Linked DNA regions of Ovis aries. The protein of the gene in region 1 interacts with the protein of each later gene in a biochemical or structural test. Links are inferred from orthologs where the notes say so. Each region holds a gene or a part of one and is shown in the gene's direction. Other genes may lie near its edges.

Evidence for each region. The genes of interacting proteins can lie anywhere in the genome.
Region 2: of the proteins of histone H2A type 2-C (region 1) and USP16, one has a biochemical effect on the other in vitro, tested with the Homo sapiens proteins (2 studies listed by BioGRID). The link is inferred for Ovis aries from reciprocal best matches to the Homo sapiens genes H2AC20 and USP16.
Region 3: of the proteins of histone H2A type 2-C (region 1) and RNF168, one has a biochemical effect on the other in vitro, tested with the Homo sapiens proteins (4 studies listed by BioGRID, with this or other methods). The link is inferred for Ovis aries from reciprocal best matches to the Homo sapiens genes H2AC20 and RNF168.

The regions. Positions count from the first base shown.
Region 1 is NC_056054.1:99,990,688-99,995,585, forward strand, and holds histone H2A type 2-C, read left to right. Parts: upstream 1-3,112; 5' UTR 3,113-3,165; coding exon 3,166-3,555; 3' UTR 3,556-3,605; downstream 3,606-4,898. Other genes in the region: histone H2B type 2-E, read right to left, coding at 2,462-2,842; histone H2A type 2-B, read right to left, coding at 3,721-4,113. UniProt on the Homo sapiens protein: Core component of nucleosome. Nucleosomes wrap and compact DNA into chromatin, limiting DNA accessibility to the cellular machineries which require DNA as a template.
Region 2 is NC_056054.1:127,738,003-127,744,627, reverse strand, and holds the start of USP16 (ubiquitin carboxyl-terminal hydrolase 16), read left to right. Parts: upstream 1-2,648; 5' UTR 2,649-2,766; exon of another isoform or gene 2,767-3,167; intron 3,168-3,547; exon of another isoform or gene 3,548-3,737; intron 3,738-5,815; 5' UTR 5,816-5,856; coding exon 5,857-5,917; intron 5,918-6,266; exon of another isoform or gene 6,267-6,397; intron 6,398-6,625. UniProt on the Homo sapiens protein: Specifically deubiquitinates 'Lys-120' of histone H2A (H2AK119Ub), a specific tag for epigenetic transcriptional repression, thereby acting as a coactivator.
Region 3 is NC_056054.1:191,859,423-191,865,840, reverse strand, and holds the start of RNF168 (E3 ubiquitin-protein ligase RNF168), read left to right. Parts: upstream 1-2,441; 5' UTR 2,442-2,777; intron 2,778-3,090; 5' UTR 3,091-3,126; coding exon 3,127-3,427; intron 3,428-6,418. Other genes in the region: SMCO1 (single-pass membrane and coiled-coil domain-containing protein 1), read left to right, coding at 176-620. UniProt on the Homo sapiens protein: E3 ubiquitin-protein ligase required for accumulation of repair proteins to sites of DNA damage. Acts with UBE2N/UBC13 to amplify the RNF8-dependent histone ubiquitination.

The DNA.
Region 1 (4,898 bases):
TATTTCCCCCCAGATACAGGTTTTTGGTGTAGGGATCTCACTTTCTCAAGTCCCTTAAACACTGAACTAAGAGTTTATTCTTTGAGAGTTTCTGAGGAGAAGCCTTTCTATGCCTCAGTTTACTCACCTGTAAAGTGGGAGACAATAATGGTAACTATTTCATAAAGTTCTTGTGAGGATTAAATGAGTCAATACATGTGAAGGATCTAGAACAACAGCTGACAGACACATACTAAGTACTCTACAGGTATTTTCTAAACTTTGTTAATAACTTTATTTTTTCTATTTTATTTATAGTGCTTCTTGTTTGGTTTCATTTTATGCTCATGCACTTTCCAATTACTAAGCATTAATAGTGTCCTCCTAACGGACTATTTCAGCCCCACTACCCTTCTGGAGTAGAAGCAGATGTGGCTAATGGTTATAAATATTCACCTTCCAGGTCAGAGGCACTCAAACATCTCTATACATTTGCTTAGACCCAGTAGTGATTTTATCTACTTCATTTAGTTAGAAAACATATTACAGATAGAAGAATGCAGCCAAGCTTTTAAATTAACTGGTAAATTTATTAACAATAGCATATACATACATTTGAAAACACATATGTAAGAAACATTAAGATTTATTCAGTCTCTGATAATGTCTGGAGTCCATTTGGATTCATGAAACCCCTGCAATCAACTCCAGGACCCCTTATCCAAAAGCAGAGTTGAATAACTGATCAGACCATCAGTACCATTATCAGCAGAATCAAGGCTTGGACAGAAAAATACAATATTCCATAATTACAATGAAATAAAGCTGAAATGCAACCGTCCTTGCATTTGAGGGTACAGAGGTGGACAATGTTAGCTGCATGCCCAGTGGACCACTCACTCTCAACCTCATTTTTAAAGAAATATTAACATTCTCTACTTTTTTTTCTCTCTCTGGGATATTCCTTGGATCAGGGATCGAACCTGTGTCTTCTGCACTGGCAGGCGGATTCTTTACCAGAGCCACCAGGGAAGCCCCAACCTTGTCTATTTTATAGGGTCTCCTGAACAGCAAATGAAACTGTGAATGTAAATGAAAAGTTCATCTCAATGGGGAACAAATGATCAGGATGGAAGGAGGGTGTCATAAATGAAGAAAGGAAAAGGATCTTCCAGTGAGCAATGTTCTAAATTTAATGAAAATCCAAAAGATTAGACCAAACTGAAAAGCATAAAGGAAGGACTTAAAACTGCCACCTCCTCCTTAGCACACACGCACAAATACAGCCCTCCTCCCAGCTGTTGCCCTGAGGTGACCATAGCCAACTTGGGAAAGGAGCTCCAAAACATTTCCATTTTCATGTCTTCACATACATCTAACGGAAATGAACCGCACCCATCCATCCATCCATGAAGGCTATTTTTAAAAGAAGAGGGACAGAAAAATGAATTCAATACTAATTCAGTAAGTACTTAACCGTCCACTGTGTGCCAAGCACTGGTTGGCGGGGACGATATAGAGGAAAACCAAACCAATAAAGTTTCCGTTAAGGTCTTGAGGAAAATGGTAAACAAGAAAAAAAAAAAAAAACCAACTATTAATAGCAAAACAATTTCTGACAGCTGCTAGGAAGAAAATAAAATAGTGAGGGACCAGAGGCAGGAAGGAGAGACACAACTTCCCGAAGGTGTCTGAGAGGTGACGTTTGAGACCAGACTAAAATGACTAGTGCCTTCCGGTGACTTGACGCCGAAATATTCCGAGAAAAGAGAATTAAAAGCAAAAATGATCCACAAACCAAGAAATAACAGGAATTTCACAGCGCCAAAGTGAGCGGCGCAAACCAGAACCTATGAATTCCGGAGCGGCGGGAGAGTTTGAATATTCATGTCCAATCAGGGAAAGGCTGAGACCAGGCAGCGCGGGCTCAGTATGAAGTATCCCGAACCGCTGGTGTCCACAGGAAGCCACATCGCAAGGGCCTAATTCGTGATCCGGCACCCACGCAGCTGCCAAACTCGCAATTCTTCAGGGCTGTGATGCAGTGTTCGAAAGACCCGGGCTTGGTCGTGTCCTGGGGTCCTTTCTTAAATGTGGATAGCTGAAATCACTCACTTCGTTTTGGAACACCGGTGACACGTACCCAACAGAGCCACCAGGACACAAGTCTAGGAGCAGTCTCAGTATCCTAATTTAGAACTGACTCATACGAAAGCTAAGCAGCAGTGAGGGTTAAGACGCGCCCTAGATTCAAAAGCAAAGCCAGTCACGCGCCAGGAATCTCAAGTCATAAGGGCTTAAAAAGCTACGTGTGTCATCTTCTATTACTTTTAGCCAACTAGAGTAACTTACTTTGTGAGGAACTGAGGAGAAACAAGTGAACAAGGCTCTTTTCTGGTGATTAGGTGGGTGGCTCTGAAAAGAGCCTTTGGAAAATCAAGCGGCTTTGCGACTCGTGCGAGCGCCGCGTCCCAGCAGGGACTCACTTGGAGCTGGTGTACTTGGTGACCGCCTTGGTGCCCTCGGACACGGCATGCTTGGCCAGCTCGCCAGGCAGCAGCAGGCGCACGGCCGTCTGGATCTCCCGAGACGTGATGGTTGAGCGCTTGTTGTAATGCGCCAAGCGCGACGCTTCGCCCGCGATGCGCTCGAAGATGTCGTTGACAAATGAGTTCATGATGCCCATGGCCTTGGACGAAATACCGGTGTCTGGGTGCACCTGCTTCAGCACCTTGTACACGTAGATGGAATAGCTCTCCTTGCGGCTGCGCTTGCGCTTCTTGCCGTCTTTCTTTTGGGCTTTGGTGACGGCTTTCTTGGAGCCCTTCTTGGGCGCGGGAGCGGATTTTGCCGGCTCAGGCATTGTGAAGCAACGCCGTTTGGCAAAAAAAGAGGTATGAGAATGGGCGGGCCTGATCCATTTATAACCACCGTATGCAAATTAAGGCTCCAAAAGTCTTACATTCCCATTGGTCCGTGGAGAGACCTTACGTTATCAGTAATAGCTACAGAATAACACCGACTCTTAACCTTATTGGCTGTTTCAGGAGCCAATTTGGGACCAATGAAAAGCTCGTTCCTGACCCCACCCCTCAGAAAACTTATAAAGGCTTTCCAATTGCTGATCTTTCTTAAACATTTGCCGAGGGGCTTTGATCTTTAAGGGTACTACTGTTATCTTTAGTCATGTCTGGTCGCGGAAAGCAGGGAGGCAAGGCCCGGGCGAAGGCCAAGTCGCGTTCGTCCCGTGCAGGCTTGCAGTTCCCGGTAGGGCGAGTGCATCGCCTGCTGCGCAAAGGCAACTACGCTGAGCGGGTGGGGGCCGGCGCGCCCGTCTACATGGCGGCGGTTCTGGAGTATCTGACGGCCGAGATCCTGGAGCTTGCCGGCAACGCGGCGCGAGACAACAAAAAGACGCGCATCATTCCTCGTCACCTGCAGCTGGCCATCCGCAACGACGAAGAGCTGAACAAGCTGTTAGGCAAGGTTACCATCGCGCAAGGCGGCGTTTTGCCCAACATCCAGGCCGTTTTATTACCAAAGAAAACCGAAAGCCATAAAGCCAAAAGCAAATAAAGCCTTACAAAGTAAACCAAAGAACAAAGGCTCTTTTTAGAGCCACCCAAGTTTTCAAAAAAAGAGCTAATGCGCTATTTTGTGATCAGCCCTTTATTTTGACACTTTGGTGGTGGCTCTTAAAAGAGCCTTTGGGGTGAGTGGGGATGGTATCAAGCCTCTTAATTACTTATTCTTGCCAGGCTTGTGACTCTCCGTTTTTTTGGGCAATAAGACTGCCTGGATATTGGGTAAGACACCGCCCTGGGCAATAGTGACACCCCCGAGTAACTTGTTGAGCTCTTCATCATTTCTCACGGCCAGTTGCAAATGGCGAGGGATGATGCGCGTCTTCTTGTTGTCTCGGGCGGCGTTGCCCGCCAGCTCCAGGATTTCCGCGGTCAGGTACTCCAGCACTGCCGCCAAGTACACCGGTGCGCCGGCCCCCACCCTTTCGGCGTAGTTCCCTTTGCGCAGCAGGCGGTGCACTCGCCCTACAGGGAACTGAAGGCCAGCGCGGGATGAGCGCGACTTGGCCTTGGCCCGAGCTTTGCCTCCCTGCTTTCCGCGGCCTGACATTACTGCTAAAACTGCAGTTACAGCTTCTTTTTCAAGGAGAACGATATGGCAAGGGTAACCAATTTGATGTAATTTATAAGAGCTACCGGGAGGGGTGAAGGGAAGTGGTTTGATTGGCTAAAAGCGGAGTCCGATCGAACAGCCAATAGGAAAGCGAAGAGCAGACTCTTCGTTTGCATCTTGGGCTACGAGGAAATGACGGCTTCTATAAGTACCTACCAATCGTTGTGAGCCATATTAAAGCCCTTTATTTGCATGCCAGGGTTTTTAAAGTGAAGGCTTTCAAACAAAACGCTCTTCTGTTTTGCTTTATTTACTGAGCGGCAATTTTTTCCTAGGTTACGGGTGGTAGGTTTTTTCCGGTTTCCCAAAAAGGATTTTAAAGGGCTGCAGAGAGCCTTTAGCAGATGCAGTTACTCCCACTCAAGGGCCTTGGAACCTTAAATTACTAAGTTCCTCCTTTTCTGGCTCGTCAAAGCCAGACTACCTTAAAAAATACAAAACTACTGAGGCCTCTTCTTTTCTTTCAATTTAGTTGTTGCCTGCGGTGTGGCTTCGCCCCATCCCCACCCGTCTGTTCCTCAGACTCCGGTTTAATCGAGGGCATTTCCTTCTCAGAGGATCTTCCCGACCCAGAGATCGAATCCGGGGTCTCCAGCATTGCAGGCAGGTGGATTCCTTACGGTCTGAGCCACCAGGGAAGCCCAGAATAGTATGTCATCCTCCTCTTGACCTCTAGGAGGCGTCCCAAACCGCTTTCAACTTGAAGGCGTCTTTCCCTTGGC
Region 2 (6,625 bases), about 28 Mb from region 1:
GCAATTCACAAAGAAAGGAGGAGGAAGTTGATTTTGCTCCCCAAAGGATTTTTGGAATGTCTGAAGACATTTTGAGTTGTCACAACTGGACAGGTGTGTGCTTTGGGTACCTAATGGGTAGAATCCAGAGATACTGCTCAACTTAGCAGGGTGCACCAGGGTACACCAGGGTTCCCCCCTACAAAAAATTTGCTGGTCTAAAATGCTGGTAGTGCTAAGGTTAAGAAACTGACCTCAACAATGCCTAACTAGCTTTGTCATAAATCTAATTCAGCCATCCCATCTCTTATGCCTTTCAAAGTAAACTGCAGACATTAGTCTACTTCTAAGTACTTAAGCATACATAACATTAGGATTTCAATTATGTAGGGTTTTTTTAAGTAAAAAGGAAATATATATCTTAAATGTATATTTGCTGAGTTTTGGCAAATTCATACACCTTGGTAACTCAAATCCTATTAAAATGTAGAACATTACAGCACCCCAGAAAATTCTTTCAGATTCCTTCCCAGTCAGTCCTCAAGGAACTCAACAGGCAACTATTAGTCTCTCTCTTTTTTTTTTTTTTCCTCCACACCATAATTAGTTTTGCCTGTTCTAGAACTTAATACGGGGAAGACAATGGCACCCCACTCGAGTACTCTTGCCTGGAAAATCCCATGTATGGAGGAGCCTGGTGCCCTACAGTCCATGGGGTTGCTAAGAGTCGGACACGACTGAAGTGACTTAGCAGCAGCAGCAGAACTTAATAGAGATGGAATTATCCAGTAGGTACCTTTGTGTAAGGCTTCATTGTGTGTATCCATGTTCTTGTGTGTATCAGTAATTTCTTTTATTCCTTAGCTGTATCCACTCAGTGACTATACCTTAGTTCTTCCATTCCTCTTTTGATGGAGACATGGGCTGTTTGCAGTTTTTTGGCTATTATGAGTAAGGTGTGAATAGTCAAGTACCAGCATTTCTCATGACTGAATTTCTTTAGTAAGTATTAAGCATTATGTTCCAAATACTTCTAGGTTCTAGAGATATAGCCAGGAGATATAGAAGAAGACAAAGATGCCCCCATCTCAAAGAGCTTAGGTCTGCTTGTTTCTGGGGCAGGGGAGAAAGGAAATGGCACCCTACTCCAGTATTCTTGCCTGGAAATCCCACAGGAGGCTGGCGGGCTACAGTCCATGGAGTCGAAAAGAGTCAGTTAAGACAGTAACACACACACCTAAGGTCAGGGTGGTGGGGCAGGGAGTAAATACATAGGTAACTATGAAACAAAGATACCAGGTGGTGATAAATGCTGGGTAGAGAAGTAAAATAAGGTGATGTGAGCGATAGGGTAGCCATGTTACCTATGTTTTTCAGCCAATTTCTTTATGTGAAAGTGACTTTTAAAGTGTGAACAGAATTAAAAGCTCAAAAGTGAATGGCATTCTAGGTGTGGTACAATGGCCCTAAGGCCATTTTAGAAAAGGGGGGGAAAAAAAAGGTCTTTGTGCTAAATTAAAAAATTATATAAGCAGTATAGAGCAGGAGAGCCGTTTACCCCCCAAATTTAACCATCATTACTCTGGCCAATTCGACAGGTTAGGGTGCCCCTTTCTTAACCTACTTTTATCAGATTACTAATAACGATAACTATTTATTCATATCATGTTTTTATTGTGAATTACCTGTTTATATCCTTTGCCTGCTTTTCTATTGGGACCTGCATCTTTTCCCCTAGCGATTATTGTGTCTTCTGCATAGGACTAAACTCCAAGGCGACCAAAGCCTATGTTTATTTCACTTTACAGAGGGCTTGGCACTTAACCTATTTCTAATGCATAAACAGTAAATATTTGTAAATTTTACCTTGTCAGCAAGGTTATTTCCAGACTATATACTCAATTTTAGAAGGCCGGCTGGTCAGAATTCGGGAAAATGAGTAAAATTTAAATGTCCCCCTTCAAATGTGATGTGTTTGAGTAAGGAGACTCAAATGTCTGACCACCCCCAGGTACCAATACTTTAGAACTGTTTACCCAGAGTCGCTCAGTCGTGTCCGACTTTTTGTGACCCATGGACTGTAGCCCACCAGGCCCCTCTGTCCATGGGATTCTTCAGGCAAGAATACTGAAGTGGGTTGCCATTTCCTTCTCCAGGGAATCTTCCCAACCCAGGGATCGAACCCAGGTCTCCTGCACTGCAAGCAGACGCTTTAACCTCTGAGCCACCAGGGAAGTCTCCTTAGAACTATTTAAATAACCCAATAACCACAGTGGGTCCAGTGGTAAAGAACTCGCCTGCCAATGCCGGAGACACAAGAGACATGGGTTTGATCCCTTGATTGAGAAGATCCCTTGAGTAGGAAATGGCAACCACTTCGGTATTCTTGCCTGGAAAATTTTATGGACGAAAGGAACCTGATGAACTGCAGTGCACGGAGTCGCAAAGAGTCCGCAAGACTGAGCGCACATGTACCTAATTACCGGAAGCGCCGGGGGCGGGGGGGAGGGGAATAAAAATCATTTGACAGCCGGGTCAGTCGCGAGCCACCACGTTCAGACTTCCGGCGCGAGTCCCGCGCAGGCGCCGATTAACTAGCGTCAGTGCCGCCGGGCCCAAGGGGCACAGCCGCTTCCCATAATGCCGCGTACCGGAAGTTGTTGCTTTCCAGGGGTCACGCTGGCTTCTGCTCTGTCGCTTTCAATTCGTCACCGGGGAGGAAGACGGAGCAGGCTGCCCGGCCCGAGGGCCCACTAGGGGATGCAGCCATGGGCGCTGTCGCTGTGGGTGAGTTCCGCTCCCACTGCCTTCGCAGTCACCACTCGCGTGACTTCCTCCGCACCCGGGAGCCCGAATTTTCCTGCCCCGACCTCGTTCTCTCCTCGAAGGCCCCTCTGCCTTTAAGCACGTTACCTGGCCTCGGCCCAGTACCGCGTTCTCATTGGCCTCACGTCCTGTCAGTTCCAGGAGCTGACCAATGAGTTGTCGGTGCTGGCGCCCTCCTCGACCCAGTGGACCCCGAGGTTCCCCCCGTGGGTGCGGAGCAGTTGGAAGGGAAGGGGAGGTGTGGCGGACTTCGTGAGGCCGGGGACTCTTCTTACGAGTTGGCGCTGAGTTTGCCGCCGTGTCCGCTTGTTGGTTATTAGGACAGGCAGGAGCTGTCGTCTAGACGATTCAGTGCTCCCAGGGTAGGACACATCTTCGCGAAACTTGAAAGCCCTGTTTTAGCCCCGCTGACAGAAGTTTTCCAAACGCATGCATGTTTAATGGATCCCAGGCAGGCGTGGGAAATACTGGAAGGGCGGAGAGGGAAGGGAACTGGGTTAATATGAGAGCCGGCAAGACCAGCTACTTTTGCTGGAGCCCTGCAAAGAGTAATTTGGCCCAGAAGGCAACGCTCATCTGAAGACTCGCCTGAGAAATTGAGTAGATTTATGGATGTTTTATAGATGATAATACTCAGTACTGTTTTCACAACTCATTAGATGCCCTTTATAGTTGTCAGAAATTTATTGGGAGCTCTTTTTTTCCACATTGAAGCAGTCCCCCTACTGTCCTCTGCCTGCAGCAATTACAGTTCGTCTTTCAAGTTTTCCTTTGGCGTCTGAGCGACTAGCAGGTCCCAAACCAGATTTGCTAGTGCTGTCTTCACTGCTGCAGAGTTCTTCCTTCTTTACCTTTTTCTTTCTCACCGGAATTTGTGTGCTTCATTCTTGTACACCTACCTTTTCACCTTATAATCGTCCTTAATGCCACAGGTACTATTCTCTTTTTCTGTCTTAATGCAAGTAGTATTTCTGGATCTGCTATATGTTAACACTATTCTAATGCTGTAGGTGATTCAGAAGTAAGGCCTAAAACACTTTCTTGCTCTTAGAACTTTAGATTCCAAATAGAGAAATGACCCATGTCCAGGTAAAAGATTTAAGAAGCATCTCACTTAGGTATCTGATTAGGGTACAAGATGAATAGCGCACACTGAATCCTGGGAAAGCAGAGTTGAGTGGTTTATTTAAAGTCAACTGGTTGCCTAAGGCTCCATTGAAATGAAAACCTTGGAGGAATGGGGAAGATTTGGATAGATGGAGCGAACTCCCAGCTAGAGAGTAAAGGCTTAGAGGTGGAAGGCAAGGTGTTTTGGAGTGGAGGGTTCAGAAGAGTCTGTGGGATTCTGCCTTGGAACCAAAAGATCTATGATTTAAGTTCCATTTCTGCCACCCTGTGATCTTTCATCATTTTGAGTTTACTTTAGCACAATGCTCCATTTAAAGGCTTTTGTGAAAATCAAATGAGATAATATTTATGAAAAGGCTTTGAAAATCCGAAGCACTGTATGACTAAACATTAGTGGCTCTTTTCTGAGAAGTAATGAGAGTCAGGGTTACGAGGGTGTTGAGGACAATTTATAAGGGACCATGAGTGCACAGCACAGGAGAGTGGGTCGAAAAACTGTCAAGTACTTTGAATCAGGAGAGTGATTTGATGCAAATGGCATCATTGGAAGACATTGTCTGTACTAGAATGCAGCACAGATTAGAGGGAGTTGGATTGGAGGGAGGCAAGAACTTGGGTGCTGTTCCTCCCCACCACCTCCGCCAAATCAGAATATACCCTCATTTTGTATATAACCATATAGTTGTATTCTGTTAATAAATACATTGGTTTTGTATAAATGAAACTTTGTTAATGTTTTATCTTTGAAAAGGGTAACAGTTAATGATTTGGCACTCATTTTTCTTACAAACCTTGTGGGATTACTGTGAATTACCCTCACACGTTAAGAACTAAAGGAGGAATATTTTTAAGACTGTAAACCAGAGCAAGATGACAGCTACCTTTCAGAATTAATTGGGAAGTGTTTTAAAAATATATGTCCCATGTCCTACTTTCCACTTATGGAATCAGAATTTTCATAAGCATCCCAGGTAAAATAATTATTATAGTCATTTAAGTAATTTTGACACTTAAGTTATTCTAATGTATGTAAACTACAACTTTTCAACATCATTATTAGGTAGACCTGTATGTACTTTCAGTATTTTTCATGTGTTCTGATTTTTAATTGTTGACTGAAGAGGTGATTTGATGGTAGCTAGATTTGTCATATTGCCTGGAAAAATCCCATGGATGAAGGAGCCTGGCAGGCTACAGTCCATGGGGTCACACGACTGAGTGACTTCACTTCACTTCAGATTTGTCATATTATTTCAAACTGATTTTGTCAAGAATATAATAATGTAGATGGCTGAGAATACAGATGTAGTCAGTTTTCAGTTAACATCCATAGGAAGTTCTGGTATGGGAAGATGCAGAACAGTGTATCATACTATATGGTTGGCTTTGAAACTATTTTGCAAATTTTCTAACTCCCTCTAGGAGATTGTTTTCAGAATTATTTTATTTTTCTTTGAGAAATTATAAATCTAATTGCATTGCCTGCAAGAACTAAGAAAGATAGCCTTGAAGAAAGGGAAATTAAAGTTTCAAAGTGCTACCACCATTCCACATTTATGTAGTGAGAAGTTGAGTTCCTAATAGTGTAAAGTGTTAAGACTTCACGATCTGTGTAAGAAGATACAAATTCTATCCAGACCTTTACATTTATTGAAAACCTCTTAACATTACTAAGAACCAGTTTCCTAAGCTATGAAAAATAGAGGTAATACTCTGCTTTGGGGGTTCTTATTGAAAACAATGATACATGTGAATGGTCTTTGTAACTTATAAAGTATGATAGATACACAAAATGATGTGGTTTAGTTCCGTTACTGTATCCTAGAGAACTGTAAAACTTTTTTTTTTTTTTTGGTCAAGCTAACTTTGTCTTGTTTTCTAGATTGTTATTTTGTGTCAGTAAGTAACCCCTAAAGTGCCAACATGGGAAAGAAACGGACAAAGGGAAAAACTGTTCCAATTGATGATTCTTCTGAATCTTTAGGTATATTTCACCAATTAAATCTTTAAAGTAATGTTTGTATCCCTAAATGGACATCTATTTTAATACGTAAAAATGGGATCAAAGTGTTTTGATTATGTTATTTTGTAATTTGCATTTTAACTTAATGTTTGTATAGACATGTAATTTAATAGTCTGCACAACATTTTTAATGGCGTGATATTTATTCCATTGATATAGAAGACTATGGGTACTTATTTCATGATTTATTTGAGTAATCCTCCACTGTTATAAATGTAGGTAATATGTAATTTTTCAGTGTTATGAATGGAGTGATAGTAAATATTTTTGTAGCTCAAACTGTGCACATCTGGTTATCTTCTTGGTACAGATGCTAAAATTAGAATTGCTGAACTGAGATATAAATATTTTCAAGATTCTTTTGGATCTATTGCCATTCAGAGATGTATTACTAATGTAGGGGCCCCCTAGCAGCATTTCTCTGAACCTTTAATGACACAGGTTGGTATTATTTGTAAAAATCTTTGCTGATTTGCTAGTTGAAAAAGAATATTTTCTTTTTTCAGTTTTTCTTGTTTTTGACAACTTACTGGGCTTTAGTAGTTTTTTTACATGGTCTCATTTGCATTTGTATTCTCTTGGTGCATATTCATTGGACATAAAGCTAATTGTACCACTTGATGACTTTCTAAACCTCCAGGAGCCATGAAAGAACTGAAGCCCTTTAGA
Region 3 (6,418 bases), about 92 Mb from region 1:
GCTTTTCTTATGTCAAGAGATCCAAGTCTTGTTCTCTTTCACTGGAAACCTCTAACCCAATCTGTTTAAAGTTCTCCTAGTATGTTTATACTTCTTTGAATTATCCTAATAAAATTCACTTTATGGCTGCACATAGAGAGTTCTACTGCTTAAGAAGTGCCCACATTTTTTGTAGGTTCACTTCAATGGAATTGAATATTTTATACAGCTACGTCATTGAAGTACTTGTCCACTTGCACACTTGTGTGCTTGAGAAGCTGCCAGATCTGGTGAGAAGTCTTCCCACCTTAGCCTCCATCCTTAGACGAAAAGTCACGAACAAGCGCATCAGAGTTGTATGGGAGTCTGTTCTGGAGAAGTATGGGTTGCAAGAAGCAGATATCACAGCACTGTGTATCTTCTTTGTAGCACATGGTAACAAGGCAGAACACTACATTGCTAAAGTAAGGCAGATGTATATAAGAGATATCAATTTCATGATCTCTAATATGGTAAAGAACCAGGCTCTGCAGGATGGTTTGCTGAAGGCTGTGCAGGTCATTGAGAAGGGGAAAGCAGAAATGGCCCCTCAAGAGAAAAAGTCAACCCTAAAAGAGTTGATACCATCAGTCAAAAGCTAATCTGTTACACTGGACTCAGAGATTCCATGTCTAGTATAATTTATCTTGCAAATGGGAAGCAATACATATACACAATTTAATACAGGCTTATTTTTATAGCAAAAGTGAAAAGTGTTAAATCATAATACACTGGTACAATGGATACTTTCTGTGTAGCAATATAAAAGAATGAAGAAGCTTTCATGTAACTGTATAGTAACACAGAGTTATCGCCAAGATGTGTTTTAAAATATTTCCAACATTATTGCTCAGTGGGAAAAAAAGGGCAAAAACAAATACATAGGCTACTATATCTATAAACTTCTGGAGAAATACATTAAAAAGGGGTAACATTGTTTGTCTTAGGGAAGAAAACTAATTAGAGGCTAGGGATCAAAGGCAGGAAGAAGTCTTTTCACTGTTAATTCATTTTGTACTTTATGAATTTTGAAACATGTGAATGTATGATGTAGTAAATTAAAAAAATCTACTGTATTTCGTATGTTGATGTGTATTTTCTTTCTGGTACAGTTCCATAGGTATTTTATACTAGAAAGGGAATTCCCACACAGTGATCATATATTTTATAATCTTTTTTAAACAAATGCCATGCAATATGTAGTGTCAACAATAGAAACATTTTAAAGTATGGATCCTGCCCTACAGGCAAAAGTTACTTAATTTAGAAGGTACAAATTCAGGACAACCAGAATGAGTAACACCTTGGAGGGAAGTTAGGTAGAGAAGGATAAATAATACAAGATGTGTTACCTTGCTGGTTCCTCCTTGAAAATAGGTTGGTTGCCAGATACATGCACTTAGTCTTATCCTTCTCCAGACACATTGTTTAGAGAAACCATGCCACAAAAGAGAGAGAGACTGGAACTATGTCTTGGAAGTGTTACTAAATCAAACTTGGGTCTGCAACAAAGCCAATCTACTGACATGCGGTTGTGTTAAGATAAAGTACAGCATTTATTGCAGGGCACCAAATAAAGAGAACAGGCAGCTTGTGCTTGAACAGACAGCATTACCAAGTCCGAGCTGGTTCTACTCACTGACCAATAAGATGGCAAACTAATGTCTCAAAATAACCATCCTATCTGGGTCTGGATGCCAGGTTCTTTTACAGAATGAGTGGGGTGGAGGGGGTGGGGTGAGGAAGAGAAGTAAAAAGCCCCTTCTTCTTGCAAGTATCTCCTAGAATGGCAAGTCTGGGGAAGGTATGTGTCAATTTCTTCCTTCCTGTAGCCATCCACAGGTGAGCAGGGTCCTGAACAAAGGTCCTGATTTAACAGTCAGGCAGAGGGGCAAGGTTCCCTGAGGCAGGCCATCATGTATAAACAGTACAGAAGGGTACTACAGAAAGGTAGGCTGAGGAGTACAGAGGGAAGAATTTTCAAGTTACCGCTCGGGTCTCAGTTTGTTTTGAGGTTTCCCTTTTTCTGCCCAGAGTCCAATCTTGCGACACTGCCCGGTTTCCGCCGTCCCCGGGAGCAGAACCACGCGAGAAAATTAGAGCCACAACGACCCGAGGGGGGCGGTGGCTCACCGGTAAAAGAACCCGCCAATGCAGGAGCCGCAGGAGACAGGGGTTCCATTCCAGGTTTGGGAAGATCACCTGGAAAAGGGCATGACAACCCGCTCCATTATTCTTGCCTCAAGAATCCCAAGGACAGAGGAATCTTTCGGGCCATAGACGATAGTGACGCAGAGTCCAAAAGGACTGGACCGACTTAGCAAGCAAGCACACACGCCTAGCAAGGGGAGGGGCGGGCTCTCTCCCGGCCGGGGGGGCGGGGCCAGCAGGGCAGGCAGTGCGCGCGCAGGCCCGGAAGTCCCGTCTGCGGAATGTTAGCTGTCTGTATCCTTTGTCGGTTTTGTATGGTGGGAGGGGCTGTTTTGGCGGGCAGTCGTGACGCCACTAGCCCTTGCGGGATTCTAAGGCGCCGCCGCTAAGATTAGGCTTTCTGGCTGACTTTAGAGAGGACAAGGGGTGGGCTCAGAATCCGAGTAAGGCGCGAACGCGGACCCGCAGCAGCGGTGAAACGGAAGTCCTGCTCCAACGGAGCCCGCGTCCGGGGGGAGCTGCAGTCTTCCTCGAGCGATGGCCCGAGGGCTGTGCGCCTCGGCGGCCTCCGTCTTGGCTGCCAGGAGCTAAGGGCGCGTTCTCACCTGGTAAGTGGGAGGAGGGGAACTTGGCGCGTGAGCTGGAGCCCACTTTCCGCCCTGCTGCAATGATTGTTAATGCCTGGGAGCAGCCAAGATTCATTTGTTTTCTTTCCGGATGTTTATCTTAAACATGGACAAATACACCGCCTTCCAGGGTCGTACTGTTTACCTGACCTGTAGAACACCATTTTTACTTCTAGACATTTGATGCTTTCAGTCTCTGAATTATGGCAGACTACTGGGCATAATATTTAAAACGCAAAACTGTTACTTTGCTTTTTTCTTATTCGGACCGGAAACAAGATTCTTTCTCTTTCAGGTATTGATGTTGAATATGCCTTATTAGCATATTAAAATGGCTGTACGCAAAGACTCCATCCCTTCCTTGTTAGAATGTCAATGCCAAATCTGTGTGGAAATCCTCTTTGAGCCTGTGACACTGCCTTGTAACCACACGCTCTGTAAACCATGTTTCGAATCGACTGTCGAAAAGGCAAGTTTGTGCTGTCCCTTCTGTCGCCGCCGGGTCTCTTCGTGGGCTCGGTACCGTACCCGAACAAATTCTCTTGTTAATATGGAACTGTGGGAGACAATTCAAAAACACTATCCAAAGGAATGCAAGCTAAGAGCCTCTGGGCAAGAATCAAAGGAAATTGGTGAGTAAAACCCAGCGCGTTTGTTGTCTAAAAACCAAGGTCATTTTGAAAGCCAACGGCCACTAATCCATTTTTTAAAGGATGAAACAGAGAGCCAGTTAGTATTTGTCTAAAATTTTCAGAGGTATTTGGGGTTTTTTGGCCTCAAAATGTTGATTAAGGTCAATGGCAAGATTTTGTTCATTGCCCAGCCTGTGTTCACTTGGTGTTTGTTCGATTAAAAATGAAAAGAAAAACCCAAAACAAAAGAATTGCCCGATAGTCTTCAGTCGGTGTGAAAAGTTATATAAATAGTCTCAGAGGAGCCACAATCGCAGTATAGCAACAGCAGAAGTAAGGATTCTTGTGTTAATGTCTTTTTCACTTTCAATTATTTTCTCTAACTTGCTTGCCTATATATTGCCATTCATTTAATTCTTAAGCTTGCAGGGAGCCTAAAACAGCTTTCTGTGGCTATCTAGTTCAGCCGTTTTTATTCAAAGGTCCTCCACAGTGTGGACTCTTCTTTATGCCCCAAACTGAACACTTTATGTGCTCAATAAGTCATGCGATGTTTTTTGTTTAGGCTTTGAATGCAATGCTTAATACTTACCTTTTTTTGAAATTCTTTTTACTTATTGTCAGTTCAGTTCAGTTCAGTTCAGTCCCTCAGTCATGTCTGACTCTTTGTGACTCCAGGGCCTGCAGCACAACCAGGCTTCCCTGTCCCATCATCAATTCCTGAAGCTTGCTCAAATTCATGTCCGTTGAGCTGGTGATGCCATCCAACCATCTCATCCTCTGTTGATCCCCTTCTCCTCCTGTCCTCAATCTTGCCCAGCATCAGGGTCTTTTCCAGTTAGTCAGTTCTTCCCACCAGGTGGCCAAAGTATTGGAGTTTCAGCTTCAGCATCAGTCCTTCCAGTGAATATCCAGGACTGATTTCCGTTAGGATGTACAGGTTCAATCTCCTTGCAGTCCAAGGGACTCTCAAGAGCCTTCTCCAGCACTACAGTTCAAAAACATCAATTCTTTGGCACTCAGCTTTCTTTATAGTCCAACTTTCACTTCCATACCTGACTACTGAAAAACCATAGCTTTGACTCTACAGACCTTTATTGGCAAAGTAATGTCTATGCTTTTTAATATGCTATCCAACTTGGTCTTAGCTTTTCTTAGTTTGCCATTTTTATCATTTTTAAGTGGACGCAGTAGTGTTAATTACATTCACAGTGTTTTGCAACCATCACCACTATGTTTCCAAAACTTTTTCATCACTTAGCAGCAGACAGACTCTAACCATTAAGCTATGACTCCCACTCTTCCCCACCCCCTTTCCAGAGTTCTCTGTGAATTTGCTTGTTTTTTTAATTTCTGTGAAGCCCCAGTAAAACACACACACCATCTGTTTAGCAGAATTAAACATCATAGACATCATTTACCACAGAATTAGCTCATAAAATGTTCCCATAAACCCCAAAAGATACCAGGACAAATCACCAAAATCAGATCTCCGTGGTATAAGCAAGAAGGAAGCATCTGGGCTGTTTGATGGATCTGAGAACAAAAGAACTTCAGAATAAGCAATAGGTATTCATTGGGAAGGGCTTCCCAGGTGCCTGGGCAGTAAAGAATCCACCTGCTGGATACAGGATGCTTGGGGCTGGTGCACTGGGATGACCCAGAGGGATGATATGGGGAGGGAGATGGGAGGGGGATTCAGGATGGGGAACATGTGTACACCCGTGGTGGATTCATGTTGATGTATGGCAAAACCAATACAATATTATAAAGTAATTAGCCTCCAATTAAAATAAATAAATTTAAAGTTAAAAAAACAAAAAGAACCACCTGCCAATGCAGGAGATGCGGGTTCAGCCCCTGGATCAGAAAGATCCCCTGGAGAAAGAAATGGCAACCCACTCCAGTGTTCTTGCCTGGGAAATCCCATAGACAGCGGAGCCTCATGGGCTACAGTCCATGGGGTCCCCCCAAAAATTAGACACAACTTAGCGACTCAACAACAGCAATATAAGTGTATTCATAAAATATGTGATCTGTTATGTCTGGCTTCTTTCACTTAGCATAATGTTTCCAAGGTTCATACAAGGTTCTATTATTTATTAGTACTTCATTCTTTTTTAGGGCTGAATAATTTTTATGTATATATTTTTTCATTCATTCATCAATGAACATTTGGGTAGTTTTCACCTTTTGGCTGTTTGAATGGGTGCTGATATGAATACTTATGCACAAGTATTTGTTTGAATATGTTTTCATTTTTTGTGTATATAGGAGTGGAGTTGCTGGATCATATGGTAATTCTATGTTTAGCCTTTTGAGGATCTGCCAAACTTTTTCACAGATCTGCATCATTTTAAATTCCCTTCACAATGTGTAATGGTTTCAATTTCTGCACATCCTAACCAACACTAGTTCTTTTCTGCTTTTTAAAAAATTTTTTTCATTTTTTATAGCCATCCTAGGAGGTGTTAACTGGTATCTTAGTGTGTTTTTTAAAATGTGGTAAAGTATACATTACAAAATTTACCATTTTAACCATTTTTAGACGTTCAGTTCAAGGCATTGAGTACATTCACATAGGTGTGCAAGCATCACCATCATCCCTTTCCAGAACTTTTTCATCTTCAAAAACTGAAACTCTGTACCCATTGAACAATAATTCCTCAGTTCCTCTCCATCCAGCCCTTGGCATCACCACTGTTACTTCTTGTCTCTATGATTTAACTACTTTATGTACCTTATATAAGTAGAATCATAGTAGCTATTTGTAGCTTTTTTTGTCCCTTCCCTCCTGCCCTCCCTTTCTCTTTTTCTCCTCTCTCTCTTTTTCCCAGTATGGGCAATTTGGCGACTTCATTTAAAAAAAATAATCCAAGTATAATTACCTTACAATGTTATATTAGGTTCACTATTTCACAACAGTGATTCAGTAATTCTACATAGTACAAAATGATCACCACCTTCTTTCACTTAACATAAAGTCAGACT